Canis lupus familiaris: one gene and its partners. The protein of the gene in region 2 purifies or fractionates together with the protein of the main gene of each other region. This does not show direct contact. Links are inferred from orthologs where the notes say so. Each region holds a gene or a part of one and is shown on either strand. Other genes may lie near its edges.

Region 1 (3,744 bases), on a different chromosome or scaffold from region 2:
CAAGTCACCGATTGTTTCCCTGCTCTGTTTTGCTGGATCCTAGAATACAAGGCCACGCCCAGCCAGCAGGTCCAGGAACAGTCTTCATCTTCTGACTGATGGCTGTATGTAAGAATGTGTGTGTGTGTGTGTGTGTGTGTGTGTATACATATATATATTTCACCAAATCCAACTCTTTATTGACTGACATCTAAGTGTATTTGCCTCTGAAATAATTCAGTCATACACTGATTTGAGGGTTTCGATTTCAGAAGAGAAAAAAATAATTTTAAATAATCCTAAACTAGCAATCTTTGAGAGGACGAGAGATTATGATTTTATAAAGAGGAAATCCCTACAAATGTATCCAAGACTCACGTCCGACCCACGGTATTTAGAGAAATGAAATGCACCCACCATTTGGCTGAATTTGGTCTGACGAGTGGACTAGGGAGCATAATGAATCTAAACCCTACCCTGTTTAAAAAAAAGACTCCAGGAGGCCCTGGGAAGAGCCCGGTACCAGGGCCAAGGAGGGTGGGATTCCTCTTACATGATGTACAGAGTGTGGACTCCAGTTATCACAGCATGGGCTATTCCACAGTAAGACCATCCAGGTCAGAGGATTTCAAAAGGAAAGCAAATTGGCCTCTGTTTAAGTATAAAACACCAGGCTGGGCTCACTGCACCTAATGTTCTCGATGTTCTTATTCAAACAATTACTTTGGGTTCAGTTAGTTAACCCTATATTCTTATTTTTTTTAATTATTTTTTAAATTCATTTATTCATGAGAGAGAGAGAGAGAGAGAGAGAGAGAGAGGCAGAAGCAGGCTCCATGCTGGGAACCCGACACGGGACTCCATCCCGGGACTCGAGGATCACTCCCTGGGCCAAAGGCAGGGGCTAAACTGCTGAGCCACCCAGGGATCCCTGAGTTGCCCCTATATTCTTAAAATCTGGTCTTGAATCTGGGTATGCATGGACCTGCAAAAGGACAATTTTATGTTTATTGGGCACATGCATTCATTACAGATCTTCAACTATTGGCACCGCCAGACTTTCAGATTTAGTTACTTCATAAAAAAGGTTGGTTACTCTCAAATACCCATCTTCCACAATCGTTCCACAAAGACCTATATTTCCCAGTCTCTCAACCCCCAGCAAACCTCAAGAGGTTGGGTGCCTTAGAAGCTCTGACATTTTAGGAGGCAGGGATGAGTAGCCACCTGGAGTCCAGGGGGAGGGGAGGGGAGCAAGGCCAGACATCTCTGGTTACCTGTCCCCTGCTCCTGAGGCTTTGGAGAGCTCATGCATAATGACACTTTGGGTTCTTGAGAATTAAAATCTGCACAGCAGCCTGCCTGGCTCCAATAATCAAGTGGGAGTTTAGGGCCCTCCCTTAATGACCAGGTACAAGTGTGTTTGCACACACCCTGCCATTATCTCCTGAACTTGTCCCCAGAGTGAAGCCATCCTACCCGATACATTTCACATTTCCGTGTGCCTTAAATTGGAATAAAATAAATGGCGTGCCCCAGTCAAGCTGTCACTTCAGTCACCGGGCAAATACACCTACTATGTGCCAGGCACTGTGACTACCTCCTGAGACAAAACGGGTCAAATGACTGCCCTCCCCGCCCAGACGTTTTCGCAGAAGTAAATGCTAAGCGGCCCCAAGGGGAATCGTTTTTTCCTCCTACTTTCCTACCATCCATCCATCCACCCCCATTCGTCCAATCTCCCAGAGCTGGAAATCTAGTTTATCCTATGGACTCGACAGGAACAACAAAACCCTTTAGCCTGCAAGGAACAGACAGTGTCCAGGTACAACCCAGTTCGCCCCTAAACTACTCTCTCTTTGGGCCTTTTTTTTCCTTCTTCTTCTTTTTGGTGCGGCTTCAACGTCTCCAAAAACTTGGACTGTTTTAAGAGGCTGCGCTCCCCACGGCAGCCCCGGGCCGGGAACCGGGGGGCTGGGAGCGTGCGGGGTAGGGGCCCCCGCCGCGGCGGCGCCCGCCAGAGGCCCCGGGTCTCCCCCACCCCCACCCCCACCCCCACCCCCACCGGGCCCCGTCCGGGCGCGCGGGCGCGGCGCTCCCCGACTCACTCACCGACGAGCCGGCCCAGAAGGGGCACGAGTTCTTCACCTGCGGGGAGCTGCTCAGCGACAGCGCCCCGAAGCTCAGCGCCACCATGCAGCAGCCCAGGATCAGCTGCAGCAGCCCGAGCGACAGCAGCGGGCGAGCGGGCAGCAGCGCGGAGCCCGGGGCGGCGGCGGCGGCGGCGGCGGCGGCGGCGGCCCGGCGGGAGGAGAGCGCGGGCGGCGGGGCCAGCACCCCGGGGGCGGGGGCGGGGGCAGCGGCGGCGCAGCGGGGCCGCGCGGGGGGCTGCAGGGCGGCCCGGGGCCAGCGCGGCCGCAGCGGGGGCAGCGGCGGCTCCTGCGCGGCGGCGGCGGCGGCGGCGCCCGGGCCCCCGGCCTGCGGCCCGCCCGAGAGGCCGGCCACGGGGCAGCAGGAGCCCGGGAGCACCACGGGCAGGGACATGGACGGGCGGCGGCGGCGGCAGGGGACGCGCCGCGGGGCCGCGGGCGCCGCGCACTGGGCACCGCGGGCGGACCCCGAGGCCCAGGGGGAGGGGAGGAAGCGAGCCCGGCCCAACCACTCGCCGCCGCCGCCGCCGCCGCCGCCCCGGTCCCGCCGGCCGCGCCCACCTGCCCCCGGGGGTCCGCCTCCGCGGCCGGCCGCGCGCGCCTGCGCCTGCGCCCGGGGGTCCCGGGGAGGCGCGGCTGCGACCCGGCGGGCAGGTCCCGGGCGCGAGGAGGGGGCCGCGGCCGGCAGCCGGGAGGTGGCCCCGCGCGCCGAGCTCGGAGCGCCGCCGCCCCCCGCCCGCGGCCAGTCCAGCCGCCGCCCGAGCCCCGGCTACGGTAACGCGGGGGAGCCCGGCTTTAAAGTTTCTCCTGCACCCCCGCCCCGGGAGGGAGGCATGGCCGGGGGAGGGGCTATGGTGACTTGGTGGGAGAAGTCTAAGCCTCCGCTTCGGGGAAGGACGACGCAGAGCGAGTCGCCGCTGGCCGGGGCTTCCGGGGGGGGGGGGGGGGGCGGCCGGGCTGCTTCCCCGCTAGCGACGGTAGGGGCCAGCGCGAGCTCCAGCTCACCTGGACGCGTCCGGCATCCAGAAGGACAGAAGCGGGGGGCGGCCCGGAGCGCGAGGCCAAGGTAGCACGGGTCCGCCTCACCTCGCCTCATGGAACGCAGAATCCCCAAACTTCGGAAGAAATGGCTTCATCAATCCTCATCCGTTTTTGGTGATTTATAAGGCATATTTAGGGCTTAAAAAAAAAAAAAGACTTGCCTTTGCAAAAAAGATTTCTCTAAGAGTATATGCCCTTCCCTCCAAAGATTCTTATGTATTGAAAGTATTCTCTCTCTTTTTAATGATTTTATTTATTTATTCATGAGAGAGAGAGGCAGGGACACAGGCAGAGGGAGAAGCAGGCTCCCTGCAGGGAGCCCCGATGTGGGACTTGATCCCAGGACCCCAACCTGAGCCAAAGCCAGGTGCTCAACCACTGAGCCACCCAGATGCCCCTTGAGAGTGTTCTTATACATGAAACCATTATAATAGGGCTCCCCCCCCCCCCAGGTTCACAACCAGAGCAGGGGTCGCTTTGCAGTGAGTCAGTCTCGGTATTATATTAGGCAGTTCATTGAATCAGTAAGAGGGAACCAACCTACTGCACAATAAACCCAGGGAAATCTGTATCT
Region 2 (3,744 bases):
TAGATTATCTCTTCCAAAATTCTAATACCAAGTTCCTGAGTACAAGAGAAAAACACTTCCAACAGGCTTAGATCAGTAGTGTTGAAAGTCATAAATTTCAGTGTAATCTCCAAGTTCTCCTCCAAATGCAACCAATTTAGTTCTAATTTTCCAAAAGTACTAATGAACAATATATTTTGATACCATTAATATATATAACCTGGTAATATTGTTCAGATTTGCTAATGGGTTCTTTTTACAGAACAAGAGCCTTTTTACCCAGTCTGGCCCCAAAAAGTCTCATCCAAAAATATGGCAACAATATTGCACTAGTAAAGAACTAAATCTAATCCCTTGAGCATCCCCACAGCCTCTCTCCAACATTAAGTCCTTTCACCTCTCACCTAGACCTCTGCAATAGCCACTCTTCCACCCTTTCACTCTCATCACCAGAGCCATTTTTCTACAACACACGTCACTCATATCACTTCCCTGTCTAAATTCTGAATCTACTAACATAAAACTCCAGTTTTTAGCATTATAACTTTTCAGTTACCTCCTTTTACCTTTCTGACCTCACATCCTACAATGCTCTCCTTCCCCATCCCACTCCCTGTTCCCTGAACCCTTTTTCTCCCACTATCTTCTGCATTTACATACAGCACTGTCCTTCCCTTACCCCATCCTTATCACATTCCCACTCATCATCTAAGGCCAAACTTAGGACAGGAGCAGGTCCTGCCACCTTCAACAGCCAAACCCCAGACAGAACTGGCCAATTCTGTCTCAAGCTTCTCAGTAGATTCACAGTATTGTTTGCCTCAGTGGTTCCCAAAACCAAGAGAGCTGCCTGAGGCATGTTTTAAAAATAAATTCTTCAGGGCAAAAGCAGACCTACTAAATTGATGTCAGAAAAGGAGACCCTGGAATTTCTACTTTTAAAAAGCTCCCCTAACTATTCTAATGTGCAATTTGAGGAACTACTGGTTTGTCTATCTTTTTCAATAGGCGAACAGATGGGTTTTTTTTGTTTTTTGTTTTTTGTTTTTGTTTTGTTTTGTTTTAGAATTCAGAAATGATTCCCTCTGGAATACTGTGAAAACGTATTCTGCACTCATTTTTTATTTCATGTCCTTTTTGACTTGATTCATATACTGACCATGAAGGAATTCCTTCTGGACTCACACCCAAAAACCTTACATTCTGTTGATAACTGTACCCCGAGTAAATCTATGAATAAATACATAGTGCAGGCTTCCAGCATAGCTGCCATGAGAACTTTATTTCAGCTGAGAAATCCTTAGCTGATTTTGAGGGTTAGTATCCGCTGCCTTTACATACTTCCCTAAAATCGATTAAGAAAAGATGCGGGAGACCCCCCAACTAAGTGCAATGATAAGTGACTGGCTCCAGTGCCTCAATAATTTCCAAAGGGCAAAAAAATCCCACTTTTCCTTCCCCAACCCTCACTCCCAAAAAAGTATACTGAAGCTGTAGAATTATGGCAGAAAATGTAACAAGACTAACATGCGCATATAACCGAGAAAAGCTGAGTTGTTATTGGGGAATCGTGAATTTCGGGTAGTTTGCACGTTCACCTTGTTACATCTTTAACTTTAGGCCCAACGTCCACCTTGAGCGCACAGACCCTGTGTTTCTCTGTAAGCCGTGGCCCGAGACTGTGTCTGAAAACTTGAGTTCCCCCACTAAGTCGTGTCCTCATCACGTTCTCACCCTTAGAATACGTTCACGACTACTTTTTTTTCTTTTCTCTGCCAAAGAAAAGGGCACTCAAGAGGGAGGGCAGTGACAGCTCCACGTCTGCAAAACTCGGCGCCGGGAGGTGCCCGCGGGGCCGCGGCAGCAGGCGCGGAAAAGGGCGCCTGGGCCGGGACCACCACGATGGGGGACAATGGAGGGAGGAGGGGAGTGTAAGAAAGAGAAGGCAGCCGCTACGCTGGGCCTGCCTCGTGACTGGGGGCTCCAAAAAGTCTCGGGAAGGCCAGCCGAGTGGCAGGTGGGCCCGGCCGCCGCCCCTCACAGGGCCACGTCGGCCGCTCCGGCCGCTGCCGCCGGGCCCCGCGCGTAGGCCGGGCCGCGGGAGAGTGGCCCCCGGGCGGGGCTGAGGGGCGCGGGGCCGGCCCCAGCTGGCGCCCAACGCGGCCCAGCCCTCTCACAACTTGGCGCCCGCGAGGCGAGGGGCTCCCCACGCCTCGGTCAAAAAGTGGCTCCTCGGCGTCTCCGGCCAACCCACCCCTCGGCCACTAGCCCGAGCTCCCCGCGCCCCCCACGGGCACCGGCTGTGAGAGAGGAGAGAGCAGTCGCGGCTCTAGGGTCCTCTGCCCGCGCGCCGCACTCCTTCACCCCTGGTTCTCCTCCGACACTCTCTTGCGGGCTCCCCCTCCTACCCAGAAGCGCCCCCAGTCCGCCCGCGAATGTTTACCGGGACTCGGGGCGGCGGCGACTCTTCAGTCCCTCGACTAAGATGGCAGCCGGTCCCGAGCCCAGACCACAGCGACTAGAGCGAGTTGGCGGCCAACGCGCAGGCGCCTCCTGCTCGGCAGGGATGTGGACTACAAGCCCCAGAAAGCCTTGCGCGCTGACCGGGAGAATTGGCCGGAGCTGGGCAGCGCAGCTACACCGGAGTTTACTCGCCCTTAGTAGGAGGGACTATGGGATTGCTCGCAGCCACTCTAGGCTTTTTTTTTTTTTTTTTTTTTTTTAAAGTATGCCCACTTCCCCAGAACCTCTAAAGACTGTAGCTGTGGTTCCCAAAAGCTATTGTGCATCAGAAACACCTGAAGGGCTTGTTGACATTTAGGAGAGCCCCACCCCCAGAGTTTCCGTTTCAGCAGATCTGGGATGAGATCTAGTAATTTGCATTTCTAACTCGGCTGTGCTTCTGGTGGGGGAATCACACTTTCAGAAACACTGGATTATAGTTTAGTCCTTAAGAAAGTAACGCTGGGGAGTTAAATTGATGGGGTTCAAATCCACCTTTTAACAAAGTACGCTTAAGGATGATGAGAATAGCCTACATGTAAGTGGTGCCAATCTGGCAGGTATTGGAAGAGCTGATCAATAAGCTTCTTTAATCCTCACAACAAATCTATAAGGAAACTACCTCCATTATCCTCACTTTACAGATGGGTAAACCAAGTCACAAGCTGGATAGGAACCCAGGCAGTTTGACTTCAGAGTCCATCCTCTTCTTTATGGGTTGTTTGTGAGAATTAATAGGCTGTGCAAGTAAATTCAGAGGCCCAGATAAGGGCTTCCTAATTAATGACCTTAGCTATTATTGTTTAGCCTGTTTCCTCCTTATGAACATATTTTACCATCTGGAAAGTCACTTGCATTTTTCAAAGTATGTTCAAATCTCAATTCTCAATTCTCAAATTGCATTCCTGCAATATGACTTAAGAGAGCTTATTAATGATGCAGACTTCTGGATCCTAACCCATTCAGAATCTCCAAGGCAGTGGTTCTCAAACTTTAGTGCCCATCAGAATCTCCTAAAGAAGAGCACCTGAGTGGCTTAGTGGTTGCGCATCTACCTTTCGCTCAGGCTGTGATCCCAGGGTCTTGGGATGGAATTCCACATTAGGCTCCCCACAGGGATCCTGTTTGTCTCTCTGCTATGTCTCTGCATCTCTCTGTGTGTCTCTCATGAATAAATAAATATAATCTTTAAAAAAGAGAGAGAAAAAATCTCCTGAAGGATTCATTAAACTGGGCAGTCTGGGTGGCTCAGCAGCTCAGCAG
Region 3 (3,744 bases), on a different chromosome or scaffold from region 2:
TTAGGGGGTACTCCCAAGTCTGGAGAGCCCTGACATCGCCGTGCCTAGGCTGGGACTTCCATGTGACAGCATGACTTGGGAGCTGAGCCTCCGGGTCTTCGGCCCGTCCCCCTGGAGCTTGGGTATTGTCCCACTGGGAGGCAGGAATTCCCACTGGAGGCTGGTTTGGAAAGGAGTGTCTCACGTTCCAACCTTATCTTTCCTTCCCGCCTTGTGGACTTGAATATGGACCTGCTGCAGTTGGGGGTGAGAGGCTGGTCCCTAGACACATAATTTCTGTTCCTTAGACCTGCCACCCTTCGCTTTCTGGGCCAGGGTTGGAATTGGGGTGGAATGGGACAGCTGGCTATAAAACTCTAGTGTAAATAGAGCACTCCCCTTCTTCATCTTTTCTTTTATCTCCCCATTTATTCTACACCGGTTGTATTTTTAATTTTGGACTTCCCCTTTTGGGCAGGGCAGCTCGGAGGTGGAGTACCAACCAGGGTCTGGCCAAGGGAGGAAGGAAAACAGGTGACGATATGTTCGCTCACCTCTTTTGTTTTTAATAATATTGGCCAGCTGTTTGTACAGACAGCCTGCGTGTTGTAAATAAAGCAGAGTGGGCTCTTTTGTGTTTATAGCCCTCCCTGACTGTCCTGCTTGGGTGGGGGCGCGGTGGAAAAGCAGAAGGCGCGGGGGGCTGAAGCCCACCTCCAGAGCAGAAAACCACCCGGCTCTGCGCGCCCCCACCCCCCAGCTCCCCAGACCCCCGCCCCCAGCCTGGCCCTCAGTCGGCTTGCTTCCACCGGGCACCCCAGCCCAGGACCCCCATCCTATCTCCCAACACGCACGCTCCAGGGAATCAGCGTTGTTTGGAGCTCTCCGCCCGAGTGGGGCCAAACGGGATGGGTACCGGTGGCCAGGCCCCCCGAAGGCCAGTGCCGGCCTCCGCCGGGGTGCTCGGAGGACGCGGGTGGGGACACATTTGGGGGCGGGGCCGTCGAGGGCTAGGAGACCGTTGCTGAAAGCAATGATCACGTGGCGCTGGCACTGGGCGGAGCCTGTAGGTCACGTGGTCGGTGGAGTCACGTGACGGAGGGCGGGCCGCCGCGGACCACGTGACATGGGGAGAGGTGGGCGGGGTGCTGCAGGGCGCCCGCGACGTCGGCGGCGGTGGCGCGCGGTGGCGGCGGCGACGGCGGCCGAGTCTGCGGCATCGGGTCGAGCCCTCCGGCCCGCCCCCTTCCCTTCCGTCGGCCGCCACCCCGCTGATCCCCGCCGCCTTCCCGCCGCGCCTTTCCGGCGCCCGGCTGATCGTGTCCGCGCTCGCGCGGCGGGGTGCGGGTGTGCGCAGGCGCGGTGGGGGCGCTTCGCCCGGTTGGGTGGGCGGCGGGACCTGGGAGCGCGCGGGCGAGACCATGGCGGGCAGCGGCGCGGGGGGCGGCGGCGTCGGGGAGACGAAGGTGATTTACCACCTGGATGAGGAGGAGACTCCCTACCTGGTGAAGATCCCGGTTCCGGCGGAGCGCATCACCCTCGGTGATTTCAAGAGCGTCCTGCAGCGGCCCGCGGGCGCTAAGTACTTTTTCAAGTCTATGGATCAGGATTTCGGGTGAGCGCGAGGCCTAGGCTGGAACCGGTGGGGGCTGCGCGGCGGTGGATCGGCCACTGCTGAGGGGCACAGGTCGGCCCTAGGCCACGCTGGGTTTTTCTGGGCTGGAGTGCTGGACAGGGCATTATGCGGGGGTTAGATTGGGCATCCCAGGTTGGGTAAGGTTACGCTTGGACAAATCGAGACGCACGGAGCTCCAGGACGACACACCGGGCCGTGCCGAACCAGATCAGGAAAGATTAGGCTGTCCTGGAATAGAATGGGGCACACTGGTTTATTTGGGAGTTATTCTGGGTAATCCGATGCCTTTCGAGCAGTCCTGCGGCCCACGGGCAGTATTGTGGAATCTCCCGATGATTGGGCCGTGTTGGGGTGCTTTAGGGCATTCTAGACCATCCTAGAGCAGATAAGATTGTTTGGGGACATCTGGCCTGTTCTGGTGCAGAAAAGGGTGTGTTGGGATGTTCTAGGCTGCTTTGGAGCAGATTACCAGGCTCTCTCGGAAGAATTTCCTGCTCTTCTGTCTCTTCTGGGTTGTGTTGGTTGATCTTAAGTTTCTGTTGGGGTCAAGTGTTTCATGGGGACGCTCTGTAGAGAGGCAGACAAGGTTTTTGAGGCTATGCCAGTGCAGACAGCTGTATTGGGATAATCTGGTCTATATTGGTATGGACGGCTGCGTGTGGAGACGTTGTAGGTCATTGCTAAAATAGCCCAATATGGCTATTCTGGAGTGTTTGGAGTCATTCTGGGCCAGACTTGGATTCTTAATAATAAATTTGCTTATGGTTTTTGAGGCTGAGTTCTCCAGGTAGCCAGCCTCAGCTCTTGAAGGCAGGCTGGATTGGCCTGAGACAGCCCATGTTCTGGGATAGCTGAATGGACTGGCTTCTACTGAGAAAGACCGTTGGCCGTGAGGAAGGTGGGACTGTGTTGGGAGTTACCTTTGATTTAGATCGAAATTCCTGTTTGTTAGCAATGATATGACCCAGGAGATAGACACAGTTGGCACAAGAAACTTCGTATAGGTAAGCGATGCACAGTAATTTTTTAGCGAGTTGTGATGATCGCTAGCGTCGAGCTCAGCTAATCTGTAAACGGGGTTATGGTGATAGAGAGTGGAATCATTTGCCGGGCTGGGCTCCGCCGGGACTGGGTTACATCTCTAAGAATCCAGCATTATATCGAGACAGAGCAGTGGTAGGGATTGGGCTGAGTGGCCCTATCGATAACAAGTGGGATTAAGTTGTCACGCATCCAGGCTCCTAGAACCATATTAGGGTAAAGGGTTAATCAGACAGGCTGTCCTAATTTGGAGGTGAGGATGTGAGTATGAGAGAGACCTTCTGTTCAATACTCAGTCTCTCAGAGCTCGTGTTTGTTCATGAGATACTTGTTCAACAAGTATACTCGTTAACAGTATTGAACAGATATTTATTAACATTCACTTTACCACCATCAGGGTCTTTGCTGTGTGGCCAGGATGCAGTGTTGAACAGAATAGGCTGTGGTGGGATCCCTGGGTGGCGCAGCGGTTTGGCGCCTGCCTTTGGCCCAGGGCGCGATCCTGGAGACCCGGGATCGAATCCCACATCAGGCTCCCGGTGCATGGAGCCTGCTTCTCCCTCTGCCTATGTCTCTGCCTCTCTCTCTCTCTCTCTCTGTGACTATCATAAATAAATAAAAATTAAAAAAAAAAAAAAAGAAAAAAGAAAAAAAAAGAATAGGCTGTGGTGATCCCACGTGGTGGTTGAGAAGAAGGGGCAAAGTCCTGTCCATCCCAAGGAACCCAGGGGAGGAATGACCCCAAGGCTGGGCTTTGAGGTCCGTCAGGCAGAACAGGTTGCTCAGTGTAGAATTTTGTGCCAGATGAGCCCCGGGGGAAGGGGAAGGTGGGCTTCACCTCTCCTTGGGAGTGCTCAGCCTAGCCAGTAGGTGTCATCCTTGGGTCTCATGGGTATATTTTCGTGGGGGAAAGGTAGCATGTTGGGCTAGGGCTTTGGACATGACTCAGAGAAAACCAAGAAAGCATGAGAATAGAGACTTTGGAGGGTTTGGGGACGGTGCCTTGAGGAGCGGGGTAGGGCTCAGGGAGGTTTGGGGTCATTCTGGGCTGTTAGAGACACCAAAGGTTAGAGATCTTTGGGGCAGTT

Evidence for each region.
Region 1: the proteins of ITCH (region 2) and FAM189A2 purify together in Homo sapiens (co-immunoprecipitation; 3 studies listed by BioGRID and IntAct, counting the BioPlex papers as one, with this or other methods). This does not show direct contact. The link is inferred for Canis lupus familiaris from reciprocal best matches to the Homo sapiens genes ITCH and ENTREP1.
Region 3: the proteins of ITCH (region 2) and DVL2 purify together in Homo sapiens (affinity purification with western blotting; 4 studies listed by BioGRID and IntAct, with this or other methods). This does not show direct contact. The link is inferred for Canis lupus familiaris from reciprocal best matches to the Homo sapiens genes ITCH and DVL2.

Annotation. Positions count from the first base shown.
Region 1 is NC_049222.1:88,739,515-88,743,258, forward strand, and holds the start of FAM189A2 (protein FAM189A2), read right to left. Parts: upstream 2,524-3,744; coding exon 2,092-2,523; intron 1-2,091. UniProt on the Homo sapiens protein: Functions as an activator of the E3 ubiquitin protein ligase ITCH in the ubiquitination of the CXCL12-activated CXCR4 receptor. Thereby, triggers CXCR4 endocytosis and desensitization, negatively regulating the CXCL12/CXCR4 signaling pathway.
Region 2 is NC_049245.1:23,988,952-23,992,695, reverse strand, and holds the start of ITCH (E3 ubiquitin-protein ligase Itchy homolog), read right to left. Parts: upstream 2,547-3,744; 5' UTR 2,423-2,546; intron 1-2,422. UniProt on the Homo sapiens protein: Acts as an Acts as an E3 ubiquitin-protein ligase which accepts ubiquitin from an E2 ubiquitin-conjugating enzyme in the form of a thioester and then directly transfers the ubiquitin to targeted substrates.
Region 3 is NC_049226.1:32,406,405-32,410,148, reverse strand, and holds the start of DVL2 (segment polarity protein dishevelled homolog DVL-2), read left to right. Parts: upstream 1-1,357; 5' UTR 1,358-1,400; coding exon 1,401-1,594; intron 1,595-1,682; exon of another isoform or gene 1,683-2,619; intron 2,620-3,295; exon of another isoform or gene 3,296-3,744. Other genes in the region: PHF23 (PHD finger protein 23), read left to right, coding at 1-33.